4 linked regions of the Ovis aries genome follow. The protein of the gene in region 1 interacts with the protein of each later gene in a pairwise test. Links are inferred from orthologs where the notes say so. Each region holds a gene or a part of one and is shown in the gene's direction. Other genes may lie near its edges.

Region 1 (3,878 bases):
AGACACAAAAGGCCACCTATTGTGTGATTCCTTTTACATGAAATGAGCAGAACAGCCAAAGTCATAGAGACAGAAAGCAGAGCGGTGCTTGACAGGGACTGGGGAGGGTCTACCCAATACTACAAGATTTCCTTTTGGGAATGTCCCGGGACTAGATAGTGGTCATAGTTGTACAGTGTTGTGACTGTACTAAATGTCCCTGAATCGAACACTTTAAAATGGTTAATTTTATATTATTTGTTACATGTAATAAAAAAAAAAACGTACCTGTTAAGGATTTCTAACAGGGAGGCCCCTAGAGCTTCCCTGGTGATCCAGTGGTTAACAATCCACTTGCCAATGCAAAGAACATAAATTTAATCCCTGGTCTGGGACTAGCCCACGTGCCACAACTACCAAAGCCCATATGTCCTAAAGCCAGTGCTCCTCAATAAGATAAGCCATTGCCAAGAGCAGCCTGCCCACTGCAACAAAAAGTAAGCCCCGTTTGCCACAACCAGGGAAAGCCTACATGTAGCAACAAAGACCCAGCTCAGCGAAAAGTTAACTAATTTTTAAAGAAGAGTGAGGACCTCAGACTGTGCAGCACTGGGTGTTACCAGTGTTGTAAATCTTGGCTGATCTTGCAGGTGGGATATTTGTGTTTTAATTTAGAGCCTTTTAATTATCAGTGATATCCAGTAGCTTTTCAAATGTTGATTGGAAATTTGAATGGACTGTGTGCTTGTGTTTGATTCTATTGTATCATATCCTGCTTTAGTTGTAAAGGCTTTCAACTTTTACATTGCAAATATTTTCTAGCAGTTCAATATCTTCACTTTATATGCCAAAAATATTTCTTTTGGGTTCTGATTGAAGTTACATCAGGGATGGATTGATCCAGAAAGAGTGGTAATTCAGTCTATAGCTCTGAGTTTCTTGCTTACACCTCTCGGGTCCCAGTGGATATATGTTGTGTGTGTTCTTTGGTCAAGTTTTCTATTTCGCTCGCAACTTATCTTCTTAGTAATGCTCTTAGGTATAGTTTGGGCTGCGGTAAAGCTAGGCATCTTTCCCTATGTATTCTCACACTGTCAAGGCTGGCGTGAAGTGGGAGCGGCTGCAGTGGCTGGGAACTTGTCTCACGCTCAGCCCCTCCCTCCGTGAACGTGACTTAAGAACCCTGGCAGGCATTCAGCAGAAACTTGCGTCTTGCATCCTCCACAAGTTTTCTGGAGCCAAACAAAGAACAGATGGGAAAACAGACTCTTGCAACGTACTCACATGTTTAATGAGTAAAAGCTAATTGTAGAAAACACAGCAGCCCTAATGAGGGTCAGCTCCAAACAGCAACAAGGAAGGGAGAGCGTGGGAGCCTCCGACCAGGGCCACGCGCATACTCAGGGCGGGTATAAAAGCAGACACCCTCAGCACTTCACTCACACACTCACACACACTTACACCTCCTCCAGCCGTACCACCTCCACCATGGCCTTCTCTAACCTGTCTGCTTGCTCCAGCGACCTGAGCTACAGCAGCCGGATCTGCCTGCCTGGATCCTGTGACTCCTGCACCGGCTCCTCCTGGCAGGTGGATGACTGTCCAGAGAGCTGCTGCGAGCCCCCCTGCTGTGCCCCCAGCTGCTGCACCTCGGCCCCCCGCCTGACCCTCCTCTGCGCCCCAGTGAGTTGTGAGTCCAGCCCCTGCTGCCAGCCAGCCTGCAGCAGCTCCTGCCCAGCCTCATGTGGCCAGCAGTCCAGCTGCCAGTCCTCCTGCTGCACCTCCTCCCGCTGCCAGCAGGCCTGCTGTGAACCTGTCTGCTGTGAGCCTGTCTGCTGCAGGCCCGTCTGCTGCAGGCCTGTCTGCTGTACACCTGTCTGCTGCACACCTGTCTGCTGCAGGCCTGTCTGCTGTGAGGCCTCCCCCTTCTCAACCTCCTCATGTTGCCAGCAGTCCAGCTGCCAGCCCTCCTGCTGCACCTCCTCCTGCTGCCAGCAGGCCTGCTGTGAGCCCGTCTGCTGCAGGCCTGTCTGCTGTACACCTGTTTGCTGCAGGCCCGTGTGCTGTGAGACCTCCCCCTGCTCAGCCCCCTCATCCTGCTGCAGACCCTCCTCTTCCGTGTCCCTCCTCTGCCGTCCTGTGTGCCGCCCCGTGTGCGGCCCCACCTGCTGTGTGCCCGCCTCCTCTTGCAAGCCCAGCTTCTGCCGCCCGGCCTCCTCTGTGTCCCTCCTCTGCCGCCCTGCGTGCCGCCTCGCCTGCTGTGTGCCCACCTCCTCCTGCCAGCCAAGCTGCTGCCGCCCAGCCTCCTCTGTGTCCCTGCTCTGCCGGCCTGCATGCTCCCGCCTGGCCTGCGGCATCCCCACCTCAGCCCCGGAGCTCTGCTGCTGACCGGCCAATCACCCGCCCTCCACAAGCTGCTGTCTCTCTCCCAAGCTCCAGGAGCCCCTCTGCTGGCGCCAGGACCTCCCCTCTCCCAAAGTTGGACACGCAGCTGCTGCCCAGAGAGGATTCGAACTTGGCAGGCATCTCAGAAAGCCCTTGACAGGGTGGACTGTGGGGCCCCAGGAGCCTCCTCTGCAGGACAGGCTGCTTGAATCCCATATGACAAACATCAGCTGCTCTAATGAATAAAGCGTTTGTGTCAGGAAATATGGACCCATGTCTGTTTTGGCCTCCTCCCTTGGGCCCCCTCAGCCCCTCCAAATATGGCCTGTAGGTGCTCTGCTGGCAGAAGCCAGGCAGTAAAGACACATTCTCCCATCCGAGTTCAAAGCAGCTGAGAAACAACAGGATCTGAAAGCTGGTGCCATTCACACATTCTATGTCCCTTCCTACCCCAGGCTCACTCTCCCTGCAGTGGACGGCCCTTCAAGGCTGACATGGAGGCGGGTGTGGGTGCAGAAGGCTCAGATCCTGAGTGGGCCCTGGGTTCCTCCCCCTGCCCATGCAGGTTGAGGGTGACTTGGGGAGCAGCAGAAACCCTCCTGGGTCTGGATCGGAGAGTCCAGGGTAAGTGCTGTTGGAGAGACGTGCCAACACTGAGGAGGAGATTCTGGGGGCTCCAAGGGGGTGCAGTGTCAATTTAGACATCACTCATTCTACTCAAGGTTTCAAAGCCTGACCGAGGAGGGACAGAACAAAAGAGACGCCTTGTGAACAAACCCTCAGGACAGTAGGGGAGAAAGAGCCTGCAGTCTTAGTGGACATTAGCAATAGAGGAAGTGGGCACCAGTCAGCACCAGTCAACTACTTATCCCCCACCAGAAACAGACTGATGAGGCCCATAGGAGCAGGAGAACAGTGGTGGCTGGGGCAAGAGGGACCAGGAACTGAAGGCATCTCCCCAGGGGATACTATCCCCACCCCAGCTCAGTTCCATCCAGGAAAGAGGGAATGGAGCAAAACCCTAAGAGGACTGGTAAACAGGTGTCCTGCCTCAACTCGTAAATCTCTTTCCTGAGTTTACTCAAGACAAGTACCATTTTTCTCCTTTGCCTTTAGCTTCTTTTCTTTTCTCACCTATTTGTAAAGTCTCCTCAGATAACCATTTTTGCCTTTTTGCATTTCTTTTGGTTGGGGATGGTCTTAATCACTGTCAAGTGATCAAAGGCAAAGGAGAAAAGGAAAGATATACCCATTTGGATGCAGAGTTCCAAAGAATAAAAGGAGAGATAAGAAAGCCTTCCTCAGTGATCAGTGCAAAGAAAAAGAGGAAAACAATAGAATGAGAAAGACCAGAGGTCTCTTCAAGAAAATTAGAGATACTAAGGGAACATTTCATGCAAAGATGGGCTCAATAAAGGACAGAAATGGTATGGACCTAACAGAAGCAGGAGATATTAAGAAGAGGTGGCAAGAATACACAGAAGGACTATGCAAAAAAGGTCTTCACGACCCAG
Region 2 (4,009 bases), on another chromosome or scaffold:
GGTGGGAGCCATTGAAGGGCATGATGCTGAGGGATGGGAAGATTCTGATTTGGCTTCTTGGGGGTGACTGTGGTGGTGACAGGGTGGATGTACTGGAGGGAGAGACAAGGAGCGAGGGTTAGGAGCAACTGTTGCAATAATCCCAGCAAGACTTGAGAAGGAGAGAAAGCCAGGCTTCCCTGCCATCATTCACTGCTGGTACCCTCAATCAGGACCTCCCTGGACGGAGAGGCAAGATAGATTCAGGGTCCCTTTAACTCACCCTGGCAGCTCTACAGCCCTCCAGAATGGCTCTAATTCTTATATTTGGAGATTGCATCCTACTCCATCACCATCAGCATTCTCCTTCTCTTCTTCCTCCCCCTCCTCTTTCTTCTCCTTCCTTTCATCCTCACTCACTCACTCACTCTCTCTCTCTCTCTCTCCTGCCCACACTCTGCTCCTGGAGCAACACAGTTTCCTCCTTCCTCTAGCTCAAGCCTCTCTGATGGGAAAAATTGGAAAAATAAAACAGAAAAGCAAGCCTGAAATATTTTTTTTTTAATGAACTGAAGAACAGTCAGCAGGGCTCTGGTGAGAAGCAGGTGTGACCCACAAGAGTACTGCCCCGGCCACTTTAAAACAGAAGCCCCTGTGATAAGGAGGATCCACAATGCTTTGGTCTCCCCCAAGTCTGGAAACCCTGGGGGTGCTCCACAAATATCTAAAACAATTTTCATCACAGAGACCATCACCTTGGAGCTTGGAGGAGGAACTCACAGCCCTTCTCCAACAATCCTGCCCGCAGACAGTAGGAAATAGAGACCAACTGAGCAATGCCCTTGGGCCCCCATGTTCTGGCTTCCCTGTGACCATCTGCCACCTTAAACTCACCCAGAACTATCTTCAGTGACTTTTCCCAGGTCACAGCAACCTGTTTACAGACATCTAGAATTCCCAGGCACTTTTAGGACAAGGCATTCAGGATGTGTCCAAGTGGGCAGCAAAGTCTTGTCTAAGAGAAGTTGTTCCTCCAAATCTATTTCTGCCCATGTAAACATCTGCCAAGGAAACAAGGCATGTGGGCATGCGCTGGGCCCACAGGCCCTCGGGTTGCTGCAAAAGGCAAATGGAAAGTCACATGTCATAACAGTGGAAAGTACATACGCAACTATTCTTAGCCCTGGAATGTATACACGGTCTCTCTGCCCAGCAGTTCTTTCACAAAGCTCTAGAAAACTGTGAAAGCGCCTTCAGCATAAACAAATCCAGAATTCTCCCAGGACAAATTATTTGCCAGCTTAAGGAAAGGCCTGGTTTTATGGTTTCACTTGGAGCCAGAGGTGGAAAGTCTCCGGAGGGACCAGCCGCGGCAGGTATCGATGGTTTTCACTGCAGGAAAACGAGGTAAATAGCTCTAATGTTTAATTCTTCTGCAGGTGAACGGGTGGCCAGATGTCATCCAATAAACCCTGCCCAGGGTACCGTCGGTCTCTGCTTTCTATTTATCTCATTTTAAAAACAAAAGCCACAAGACTCCGTGAGGTCATGTTTAAAAATAAAAACAAAACATTGCAAAGATCCATTTCCATCCCTCATTTCTGTCTCGATACCAGAGGCCACGCCCCCAGCATGACATCCGTGGGGAATGACTAACACCCGGAAAGATGTTTGGATGAGTTTACTAAGTAAGAGATATGCTGAGAATCCGGAGAAAAGTTCACAGACTTATGCTTCAAATGCACAGACTGTCATTTTGCTTCAAGCTAACGTTTTAGCCCCTGTAACCACTTACCACCTTCAACTCTCCCAACTTACCACCTGCTCTCTCTCTCTTCTAAATTTTTTTTCTTTTCTTTTCTTTTTTCAGATTGTCTGCAGATGCTATTTCTCTGTTACCTCTGAGAATAATCATAACCAAATAGAGAGATTTTCGCTGAGGCCCGTACACTAGGTGGTCCCATTTTCCAGTCTTCACTAAGGCGTATTCTTGGTGGTACCCACAAAGAGCTTAGTGAATGGACAGATAGATGTGCTGTAAGTCTCGGAGCCGCCACAGCTTAACCCTCCAGGACGACCTCCTTCTTGGGACTTCTCCCCGTCTTTACAGGATGGACATGGAGTCATCAGAGGGGCTCCTCTTCAAAGACCATGACTTCTCCTCTGACTTGCTGAGGCAGCTCAACGACTTGAGGCAAAATCGGATCCTGACCGACGTAAGCATCTGCGCCGGGGCCCGGGAGGTCCCCTGCCACCGCAACGTGCTGGCCTCCAGCAGTCCCTACTTCAGGGCCATGTTCTGCAGCAACTTCCGGGAGAGCCGAGAGGCCAAGGTCCAGCTGAAAGGCATCGATGCCTCGACTCTGGAGCGAATCGTCCTGTATGTGTACACGGGTGAGGCGCACATCACTGTGGAAAGTGTCCTGCCCCTGATGGAGGCCGCATCCATGCTGCAGTACCCCAAGCTGCTCGAGGCCTGCTCCTCCTTCCTCCAGAGCCAGCTGAGCCCCAGCAACTGCCTGGGCATGACTAGACTCTCTGAAATCTTCAGCTGTGAGACCCTCCGGAAGAAAGCCAGGGAGGTGGCCCTGACATATTTCCCAGAAGTGGCCGCGTCGGCTGACCTGAAGGAGCTCTGTGCCTTGGAACTGAGAGACTACCTGGGGGACGATGGGCTGTGTGGGGAGGAGGAGAAGGTGTTCGAGGCCCTCATGGTTTGGATCAAGCATGACCTCCAGACCCGGAAGCGATACGTGCAGGAACTGTTCAAGCAGGTCAGGCTGCAGTACGTCCACCCGGCCTTCTTCCACCACTTCATCGCCAACGACGCCCTCCTCCAGTCTTCGCCCCCCTGCCAGACCATCCTGGAGACCGCCAAGAGGCAGGTGTTTTCTCTGTACAGCACCGCTAGTTCTGCGGGCCTCCAACCTCTGTGGCATGTCCCGCCAAGAAACTCTTACCAAGACTTCCTCATCCTCTTGGGTGGAAGGAAGGACAACCAGCAGACCACCAGGGATGTCCTGCTGTACGACGGACAGACTGGCCGGTGGCAGAGCCTTGCCAAACTCCCGGCCCGCCTGTACAAGGCCTCAGCCGTCTCCTTGCACCGCGGCATCTACGTGCTGGGGGGCATGGCTGTGGGGAAGAGTGTGCCCAGTGCCAAGGTCTACGTCTTCTCCCTGAAACTGAATCAGTGGAGGCCAGGGCAGCCCATGCTGGCGGCCCGCTACTCCCACAGAAGCGCTGCCCACAAGAACTTCATCTTCTCCATCGGGGGGATTGGTGAGGGGCACGAGGTCATGGGCTCCATGGAGAGATATGACAGTGTCGGCAACGTCTGGGAGAGGATGGCCAGCATGCCAGTGGGGGTCCTCCACCCTGCGGTTGCTGTGAAAGACCAGAGACTCTACCTTTTTGGGGGAGAAGACATCATGCAGAATCCTGTGCGCCTTATCCAGGTAAACAGTACTTCCCACCATACAAGTGCACACACACACACACACACACACGTATGCATACATGTATCCAGGTAAATGGTTCTTCCCACTATGTCTACACACACCTACAAACAAGCACATTCATGCACACACACATATGTACAGATGCATGCATGACACATATGCTCACACGTGTGTGCACTGCATGCACACGCATGTATACATGTGTGCATGTGCAAACACATGTGTACATACACAGATACATGAATACACACATACCTATGCACATATATGCGTATTATACATGCTTGTTAGTTGCAAGGGAAGGATAAAGGAGGAAGGGAGGGAGGAAGGAAGGAAGTTTAATTTCAGCAAGATCTTATCCATTTATGAATTCTTTTGGGTAAGGTCAATACATACAAAGGTACATCAGATACCTCTAAAGGATCTAGCTGCTACTGCTACTGCTGCTAAGTCACTTCAGTCATGTCCGACTCTGTGTGACCCCATAGACAGCAGCCCACCAGGCTCCCCCCTCCCTGGGATTCTCCAGGCAAGAACACTGGAGTGGGCTGCCATTTCCTTCTCCAATG
Region 3 (4,166 bases), on another chromosome or scaffold:
CCTCTTCCCTGACTGCTGTCCTCTACCCAGCCTTGCCCCCTCATCCCTTCTTGCGTTTGGTATTGAGACTTCTCAGACTCCACCCTTCTTTCTTTTGTATGGACAGTTCCCCTTCAGTCCCATACCCCTACATACAGACACCCAGCCGGGGCCAAATTTATACTTATATAAAAGTTGTAAATATGTGAAATTTTATCCCTGTGCCCTTCCTTGCTTTCCCAACCTCAGACCCTACCCCTGGACCTCCTTTCCTCTCTTCTTTGGCTGTTGTAATTATCTGGGATTTGTACTGTACATATCCGGGGTGTGTGTGTGTGGGCTGGGGGCAACCCCTCTGTACAGCGCTTCCTGGCCCCCTCCCCACCACGATTCCCTCTCCCCCAATAAGGGTAGGGAGATGTTCTTCCTACCTGTTTTATTTTGTTTTCTCGTTCTCCCTCCCCACCCCACCCCACCCCCAGCCTACTCTCTCCCCCACCACTGCCCCTTCCACTCCCAGCCCCATTTCCTTTTTTTCTGGAGTGTGTGGTGAAACAGAAAAATCATGTTTAATAAACGGAGATTGTTCTTTTACCGCGGTGCTGACTTTCCTAGTCTCGGACCTCCCGGAGGATCAGCATGGTGACAGGAACTGCTTTTTGAGGAAGCTGACAGCTTGGGAGAAATTCTGTATCCTTGTGTGACGCCATAGTCTTGGCCCTAGAATATCGCTCTCCCAACTAGCAAGATTGTTTTGAGTAGGGGTTTTTGCACAGGCCAAATTTCCCCCATGTGTCTCACCATTGCGCCACTTAACCCCAAGAGAAAAGAGGTTAAGGAACAGCAGCAGTATCTGATAAAAAATAAGTGTACATCTACATGTCCCTTAAAAGTAATTACCTAGAAGAGAAGATTATTTCATTGTTGGTTAAAGTGCTCCCGTACGGAACGGAGGAAAGAACTTGGTGCCTCAGCCTTGTGGAGTCGGCCCCTGAGCCAGCACTTGCCGTCTCGGCTTCCCCTGAGGAAAGGATGGGAACTCCTACCTCGCTGGTGGCGGGTCGGGGGAGGGGGCGTGGGATAGAAGGTGATATGAACAATACCTAATACGCTAGGTGTCCTCTTAATCTCAGCACCCATCGGGGGCAGGCGTTACATTTAATCACTGGCACGGCTCACTGGTGGCACCCTCGGTACCGCCTGCGCATTCTCATCCCCTCTGCGGCCCCAGCCGGGTGTACTGCCTCCCGCCAGGACCGCCTTCTCGCCGGCATGACCAATCGACGTGAGGCTTGTAGGCCGGCGCCCTCCGATTGGCTGCCTCCCTGGCCCCGCCCAACTCCCCGGGGGTCCGCTTCCGGCGGGGAGGAGGCGGCTTCCGGCCGAGGCGGCGCGGTTGCTGCAGAGCCGCTCTGGACGCAGGACCGCGTGTGTACCCGTGGGGGCGTGGCGACAGGAAGGGCCAAGTGGCTGGCGCTCGCGGTCCCCGGGTACCTGCCAGGGAGTTGGACTCTGCGGGCACGTGAGTTGGGGAGCGGAACGGTGGGAAGAAGCCGACCGGGCCGGCGGGATCCGGCTCGCGGCTGAAGGACCTCCTCCTCGCCACAGGCCCTTCAAGTTCAATCCCCGGTTGGTGTTTTGTTGTGGTTTGTTTTCGTTTTCTTGGCGGGGGAGTGTGTGGGACTGTTCTGCCCGAACCACCGGCTACCGAAAAGTTCCACACGTTGGGGTGCAGCGGAGGCGGACGTTGCTTGGGGAGATACGATTGTCTTTATCCACAGCTTCTGTGACCCCTTCTTTCCTCCACAGCCCTCGTCGCGCAGGGGCTCTCCCCCGCCCTCTCACCTCCTGTACCCGACCCTCTGGGATCTCTTTCTTCCCCAGGAGGCCATGGATACCTCGACGCCTTTGCCTCCTGTAGCCCCCTCCCCAGCCTGCAACCCAGCCCCACGGACGATCCAGATCGAGTTCCCTCAGCACAGTTCTTTGCTGCTGGAGGCCCTGAACCGCCACAGGCTGGAGGGAAAGTTCTGTGACGTCTCTCTCCTGGTGCAGGGCCGCGAACTGAGGGCCCACAAAGCAGTGTTGGCCGCCGCTTCTCCTTACTTCCACGACAAACTACTTCTGGGGGATGCACCGCGTCTCACCCTACCCAGCGTTATCGAAGCCGATGCCTTCGAGGGGCTGCTCCAGCTCATTTATTCGGGGCACCTCCGTCTGCCCCTGGATGCTCTCCCTGCACACCTTCTTGTGGCCAGTGGCCTGCAGATGTGGCAAGTGGTAGATCAGTGCTCAGAGATCCTTAGAGAACTGGAAAACGCAGGTGGTGGGATTTCGTCCCGAGGAGTAGCCCCTTTCCACACACTTCTTTCCACCACAGGAGGCTGGTCCATCCGCTCTTCTCCTTTCCAGACCCCGGCACAGTCTTCTGCTTCTAACCAGAGCTCGATTGGAGGGGAGGGGAGTGAACTGGGAGATATATTACAGCTTCAGGTTGAAGAGGAAGATGAGGAAGAAGATGAGGAGGACCAAGGGTCAGCAGCACCCTGTCAGACTCCTCAGCCTCAGAGAGGATCAGGGAGTTTTCCTCCCCCTCCTGTATCCTACCCCCTGCCCACATCCACTATTCCTTGCAGAGTTCCAGAGGGCGAGAGTGCCCCACCTGAGCCTCCTGCTCCTCATACTGCATTGCCCCCCAAAATCTTCTACATCAAGCAGGAACCCTTTGAGTCCAAGGAGGAGATAGCTGGAGGCGGAAGTCAGTCTGTAGGAGCAAAGGAGGAGACCAAAGTGTTTCCAGCAGGGAACACTGAAGAGAATGGACAACTAGGGTTCCTGCTGCCCTCAGGAGCAGGGACAACATCTGGAGGAGGTGATCCATCCTGGAAACCAGTGGATCTTCATGGGAATGAAATCCTATCAGGGGGTGGGGGACCTGGGGGAGTAGGGCAGGCTGTGCATGGGCCTGTGAAGCTAGGTGGCGCTCCCCCTGCAGATGGAAAACGCTTTGGTTGTTTGTGTGGGAAACGCTTTGCAGTGAAGCCAAAGCGTGACCGGCACATCATGCTGACATTCAGCCTTCGACCCTTTGGCTGTGGCATCTGCAACAAGCGTTTCAAGCTGAAGCACCACCTGACAGAGCATATGAAGACGCATGCTGGAGCCCTACATGCCTGTCCTCACTGTGGTCGCCGGTTCAGAGTCCATGCCTGTTTCCTTCGCCATAGGGACCTCTGCAAGGGTCAGGGCTGGGCCACTGCTCACTGGACTTACAAGTGATTGCTAAGGCCATATGCTAACTTTCAGGACAAGGGAGCCACTACTGCTGATGGATACTTATTACCGCTCACTACCACAGTACCCTAATCCTGTATCTTGATGTTGGTGTTGGTGGTTTTTTCTTGGCCATACCTCGTAGCATGCCACCAGGGATTGAACCTGCACCCCTGCAGTAGACAGTGCAGAGTCCTAACCACTGGACTAGCAGCAACGTCATATCTTGTTAGTTATTCCACAAGGATAGATATATTATGGATCTCTTCTTGGATGTGGGCCTCAACCTGACAGATTTGAAAACTTGATTTCTCATCTCCAGGTTTTTGCTAACTATCCTCCGGGAGACTGGTTTACAGGCCCTAGATATACTGATCAGTTGCCTGTAATCGATCCTTTCATACAGGAAACTGGATTAAATTTCAGATTAGAAGTTTTATTTGATGAGAGAGGAGTTAGAGCAAGAAAAATTATGATAAATGTTTAATTCAGTCTCTATGAGAAGTTAAGGGAGCTGGTCTCCATCTAGAGATGTGTTTGATTCAGAGTTCTAGTAATCCAGAGACTAAGCTCTAAGCTTTACTTTTCCCTCATCATTGCTGAAATTTTATGAGTAAAGGTCTTATATACTTTTCTTTTGTTATGATTTTCTGGAAACCCTTCAGTCTATAAATTACTTTCTCACCAGTAGGTACTTTTTCAACACCTTTATTTTGTATGTTGTAGTTGAGCGCTTTAACAAATTGAGAATTCCATGAGTCACTTAGAACCCTCTTTAATAGAGGTATTCCCTCCACAGTCTGTGCCTCTTGTCTACCTTTGACCACCACTTATCACTCATATTGATCACAGGGACTGAAGTGTGATCAGTGAACTCAGGAGATGGCCATTGACCTAAAAATAAAATACTCTCA
Region 4 (4,307 bases), on another chromosome or scaffold:
ATTGTAACCGCCAACCTTGGCTCAAAGCACCTATTAAGTAGGACTCTTAGAATTCTGGCACCAGAAGTGAAAGTTGCTCAGTCGTGTCTGACTCTTTGCGACCCCATGTACTACACAGTCCATGGAATTCTCCAGGCCAGAACACTGGAGTGGGTAGCTTTTCCCTTCTCCAGAGACTCTTCTCAACCCAGGGATCGAACTCAGGTTGGTACCCCTAATACCCCTCCTTTTGCAGAACATAAGACTGAGAGACACAGAGGAGACAAAGCTCTTCCTACCACAGAATAAACCACTAGAAAATTATGTTTAGAGATTCAGCTCTGAAAACCCCAGCATCTCTGGGAGCAGAGTCAGGAAGTCGTTTAGGTTTGAAAAAGCTCCAAGCAGATCTTCCTGTGGGCTGAGACCCTTAACCAACATGTCACAGGAGAGACCAATATTAACTGAACACCTCTTCTGCGCCAGGAGTAGCCAGGCACGGCGAGGGCGCTATGTATTTACGACCCCGATCCCAACTCTCCAGGCTAAGGGTTATTAGCTAGGTGTTCCAGATGGGGAAAACAGGCTGGGAGAACTTGTTCAAGGCCATAAGGCTAGACAGTGACACAGCTGGGCTTCAAGTTAGGCACTCTTGACTCAGGGGTAAGAGGGTGGAGGACGGTGTACAAACGTACCGGGGAAGCCATGGATTCTTTACTTTCTTGACCAAGGAACTGGCAAAGTCTTAGGAGCAACAATAGATAATGCTTACTGGACACTTAGCGACTATCAGCACCATACAGCGCCCTCCACGTGGATCACCTACTTCAAGACTCGCCATCAGTATTATGAGGTAGATACAATCATACGCCTATACTTGCAAAAACACAGGGAGGTTATGCGGCTGGCTCAAAGGCCCACGTCTAGCCGCTCGAAAAGGGCAGTCAAAGCTAGGTCGGCCAGGCTCGAGAGCATCCAGCTAGGTCGCCAGAGGCAAGCCTAGCTCGCCCAGAGCCCGAGAAGGCCCACGTATTACGCGCGAGGCAGGCGGGCCCGGCTCTGGCGCGGGACGCGGTGACTCAGTGCCCGGCGAGCCTGAAAGGGGTAGGAAACTCCAGACCCCACCCCCCAGGCCGAGAGAAGCGCGCCCTAGACAGGCCATCCGGGTGGGCGAGGACCCGGCGCCTCCAAATCTCCTCAGACCCCCAGGGAGCGGCTCGAGGCCACCACTACGGTCCTCGGTTTCTCCAGCGGGACAATTGAGCGTCGAGGCCCAGGCCGGGCCCTCAGCCGGAGCGGACGTCCTCCCTCCGAGTCGCTCTCTGAGGCGCCCGCGGGCTGACTGGACGGCGGGAGCCGGACTCGGGCCGCTCCTCGAGGCCCGCGGGCGACACGCGCCCGCCCCTCACCTCCTTTAGGCATCGCGGCTCCGGCGGCTGCGGCGGCGGCGCCTCGAGCTGACACCGGAACCGGAAACTTCTCGGGCTCGACTTCTTCCGCCCGGCCAGTTTCCCGCCCCCCGGCCCCGCCACCCGGCCGCCTCTCAGCGCGCCGCCGCCGCCGCGAGAACCGCGGCCCTCAGGGAGGCCGGGCGGTCCCACGCGCCGCCTGAGCCCAGGCTCGCCCGCGCGCTGCTGGGCAACAGAGCCCCTCCCAACCCCGCCGTGGGAGGCGCGTGAGCCTGCCAGCCCACGCCGCCGGGCAGTGCGGACGAAAGGAGAGCGCGGCGCCGGAATTGTGCGCAGGCAGGGCTGCGGACACCTAAGGTAACGCAATCGCCGCGCTCCGTGGGGCGGGGCTCCGCGAGGACCTCATCGTGAAGAGATACTTGGGGAAGCTGAGGCGGTGGATACGGAAGGGACGTTGCACCGCGACGGAGGCCTAGTGAGTGTTTCCCTTCTCTTCTCTAGGACCTTGGTAACGGCTGGGGACCAGGGGTCGGACGTCTGCGTTGGCCCAGAAGGCGATCTGAACACCCGAACTGGGACAGGTTCGGGCCTCTGGACCCGAAGGTCGAAGTGAGTTCCCGAGACTAGGCGGCGTCTTGGTGGGTCCGCGGAGGGCATGGGAAATTTGGGGGTTCCCTTGCTTCTAGGTTTCCCCGCCCTTATTTTTCGCTCATTTCCCCCTCGCCTAGAACGTTTGTTGTCTAAATAGTGCTTTTCCTTGTCATCCCGGTTCAGATGCCGTAGTCTCCATGAGCCTTACAACCCGGGTTGTAGCCGTCTTCACTCAGCTTCTTCCGAACGCCTTTCGGCTCTCCGCCCCTCCCGAGCGCTACCACCTTTCTAACACCGCCCCACATCTCTTTCTTCCTGACCAGGTTGCTTCTTAGCTGTTACCTCCCATGGGAGGCCTCCACCAACTCCCAAGCTGGGCCAGGCCCTCAACTCTCCGTGGGTCTTAGTTAGCAGAGTGGTCATTCCGTCGTCTTTGTCCACCCAGCCCGTGCTCCTTGAGACAGGGACCAGATTCCATTCGTCTCTAGCTTCAGAGCAGGGGAGACAAGTGTAAAGACAGATTGGGGCGTCAGGAGCCCCCGATGAGTCAAACTCTGCCGGTTCCCAGCTCTGGGCGACCCTGAGTTTGATCTTCTGTAAGGTGGTTGCTGAGAATTCACTTGATGCGGCGAAGAGGGCGGGGCTTCGTAAACATATCGGGAGGGAGGAACTGAATGAACGTGGGAAAGGAGGAGTCTGCTCTGCTTAAAGATAATTAACAGGAGTTCTCTTTTAGTGTATTTTTTAAAATATTCTGAAAATATTTATTTGACTGCACCGGGTCTTCGTTGAGGCATGCAAACTCTTAATTGCGGCATGTGGGAACTAGTTCCCTGACCAGGGATGGGACCCAGGCCCCCTGCGTTGGGAGCTCAGAGTCTTAGCAACTGGACCACCAGGGAAGTCCCACCCTGAGTTCTCTTTGCTGGCTACGAAATGCCTTGCGGTTTGAAAAATGACTTGCTATGTAGATCTGGGCTGGTCTTTTCTTTGGGGTTTACATGACTTCCTTTATATAGTATGTTTGTTGGGTTTAAAAGAGACCTTGGCAATCCAGTTAATACACTGTCCTCACTTTATAGACAAGATTGAGGACCAGAAAGGGAATGTGACCTCTCCAAAGTCATAGCTGGACAAGAATCCGAGCCTGTAACTGAAGAGACCTGAGATCTTTCTGTTACTCTTGGGAAACAGGCCCTAAGGTACTTTGGTCTCACTCTTCTTCCTGTCTAAACGCTCGGCGTTGCTCTCCCAGCCAGCCTCCCTCACACTGTGTTGTGCTTCCCTTTCTACGCTGCATTTCCCTGCTGGAATATCACCTTCTCGGGGACAGTGTGTGTCTTATTCTTCGTATGATAATAGCAAAACTCTACCAAGCACACCTTAAATACCAGGCACGTTACATGTAATCAGGCCCCACATGGCTCCTTAAGTAGATTCTCCCCGTTACACAGATGAGGAAACAGACTTACAGATATGAATGTGCACCAGAGTTGTGGCTTGTGAAGTCCTCTGGGGATCCTGAGGCTCAGAAGCCAATTCATTTTAATTTTTTTTCCCCACAGATTTTTGCAGACTATCTTCTGGGAAAAAATGCCTAAAGTCAAAAGAAGCCGGAAAGCTCCCCCAGATGGTTGGGAGTTGATCGAGCCAACACTGGATGAATTAGATCAAAAAATGAGAGAAGGTGAGTTGGGGAGTTCCTGTCTCGGTGGGCTGTGTCCCAAGGATAAATGGGAGGAGACAGGCTGCACCACCGAGGCCGCCTGACACTGACATGTTCTGTTTGCTTTTTAACTGATAAGTGAAGTTGCTCTGTCGTGTCCAACTCTTGGCAACCCCATGGACTGTAGCCTACCAGGCTCCTCTGTCCGTGGGATTTTCCAGGCAATAGTACTGGAGTGGATTGCCATTTCCTTTTCCAGGGGATCTTCCCAACCCAGGGATTGAACCCAAGTCTCCTGCATTGTAGACCGACGCTTTACCGTCTGAGCCACCAGGGAATAACTGATAGGAATACCATAAATGCCAGAAAGTAAGATAATACAAATGAGAAGGTCCTCAAAAATGTTTTTGAGTATATAAGACCTTTAGGGAGTATAGGTCAAATAGTCTACTTAGAATTATTTACTGGTAGAAGTATATTTAAAATCATACGAACTATATTTACTTGGAAAATCCTGTTCTTTTTCACTCCGGATTTTCTGAAGTGTGTGTGTTTGGCCTTTGCTGTGGGTCTGTCTTCACGCGCTTTGCTCTGCGTCCTCTGCCAGTTGTCCGGAGTGCACAGTCTTCCCTTCCCCCGTGTTAGGTGGTCCTGCACTCTGT

Evidence for each region.
Region 2: the proteins of keratin-associated protein 10-12-like (region 1) and KLHL38 interact in binary tests that used the Homo sapiens proteins (3 or more experiments, as listed by UniProt). The two-hybrid records come from large-scale screens. The link is inferred for Ovis aries from reciprocal best matches to the Homo sapiens genes KRTAP10-7 and KLHL38.
Region 3: the proteins of keratin-associated protein 10-12-like (region 1) and ZBTB9 interact in binary tests that used the Homo sapiens proteins (3 or more experiments, as listed by UniProt). The two-hybrid records come from large-scale screens. The link is inferred for Ovis aries from reciprocal best matches to the Homo sapiens genes KRTAP10-7 and ZBTB9.
Region 4: the proteins of keratin-associated protein 10-12-like (region 1) and BUD31 interact in binary tests that used the Homo sapiens proteins (3 or more experiments, as listed by UniProt). The two-hybrid records come from large-scale screens. The link is inferred for Ovis aries from reciprocal best matches to the Homo sapiens genes KRTAP10-7 and BUD31.

What each region holds. Positions count from the first base shown.
Region 1 is NC_056054.1:262,544,475-262,548,352, forward strand, and holds keratin-associated protein 10-12-like, read left to right. Parts: upstream 1-1,317; 5' UTR 1,318-1,467; coding exon 1,468-2,367; 3' UTR 2,368-3,373; downstream 3,374-3,878. UniProt on the Homo sapiens protein: In the hair cortex, hair keratin intermediate filaments are embedded in an interfilamentous matrix, consisting of hair keratin-associated proteins (KRTAP), which are essential for the formation of a rigid and resistant hair shaft through their extensive disulfide bond cross-linking with abundant cysteine residues of hair keratins.
Region 2 is NC_056062.1:29,254,729-29,258,737, forward strand, and holds the start of KLHL38 (kelch-like protein 38), read left to right. Parts: upstream 1-1,202; 5' UTR 1,203-1,386; intron 1,387-1,849; 5' UTR 1,850-2,009; coding exon 2,010-3,437; intron 3,438-4,009.
Region 3 is NC_056073.1:7,781,651-7,785,816, forward strand, and holds the start of ZBTB9 (zinc finger and BTB domain-containing protein 9), read left to right. Parts: upstream 1-1,359; 5' UTR 1,360-1,501; exon of another isoform or gene 1,502-1,608; intron 1,609-1,788; exon of another isoform or gene 1,789-1,863; 5' UTR 1,864-1,869; coding exon 1,870-3,258; 3' UTR 3,259-4,166. UniProt on the Homo sapiens protein: May be involved in transcriptional regulation.
Region 4 is NC_056077.1:37,431,351-37,435,657, reverse strand, and holds the start of BUD31 (protein BUD31 homolog), read left to right. Parts: upstream 1-1,500; 5' UTR 1,501-1,745; intron 1,746-1,792; exon of another isoform or gene 1,793-1,889; 5' UTR 1,890-1,997; exon of another isoform or gene 1,998-2,026; intron 2,027-3,061; exon of another isoform or gene 3,062-3,181; intron 3,182-3,544; 5' UTR 3,545-3,572; coding exon 3,573-3,666; intron 3,667-4,307. Other genes in the region: PDAP1 (28 kDa heat- and acid-stable phosphoprotein), read right to left, coding at 1,389-1,401. UniProt on the Homo sapiens protein: Involved in the pre-mRNA splicing process. May play a role as regulator of AR transcriptional activity; may increase AR transcriptional activity.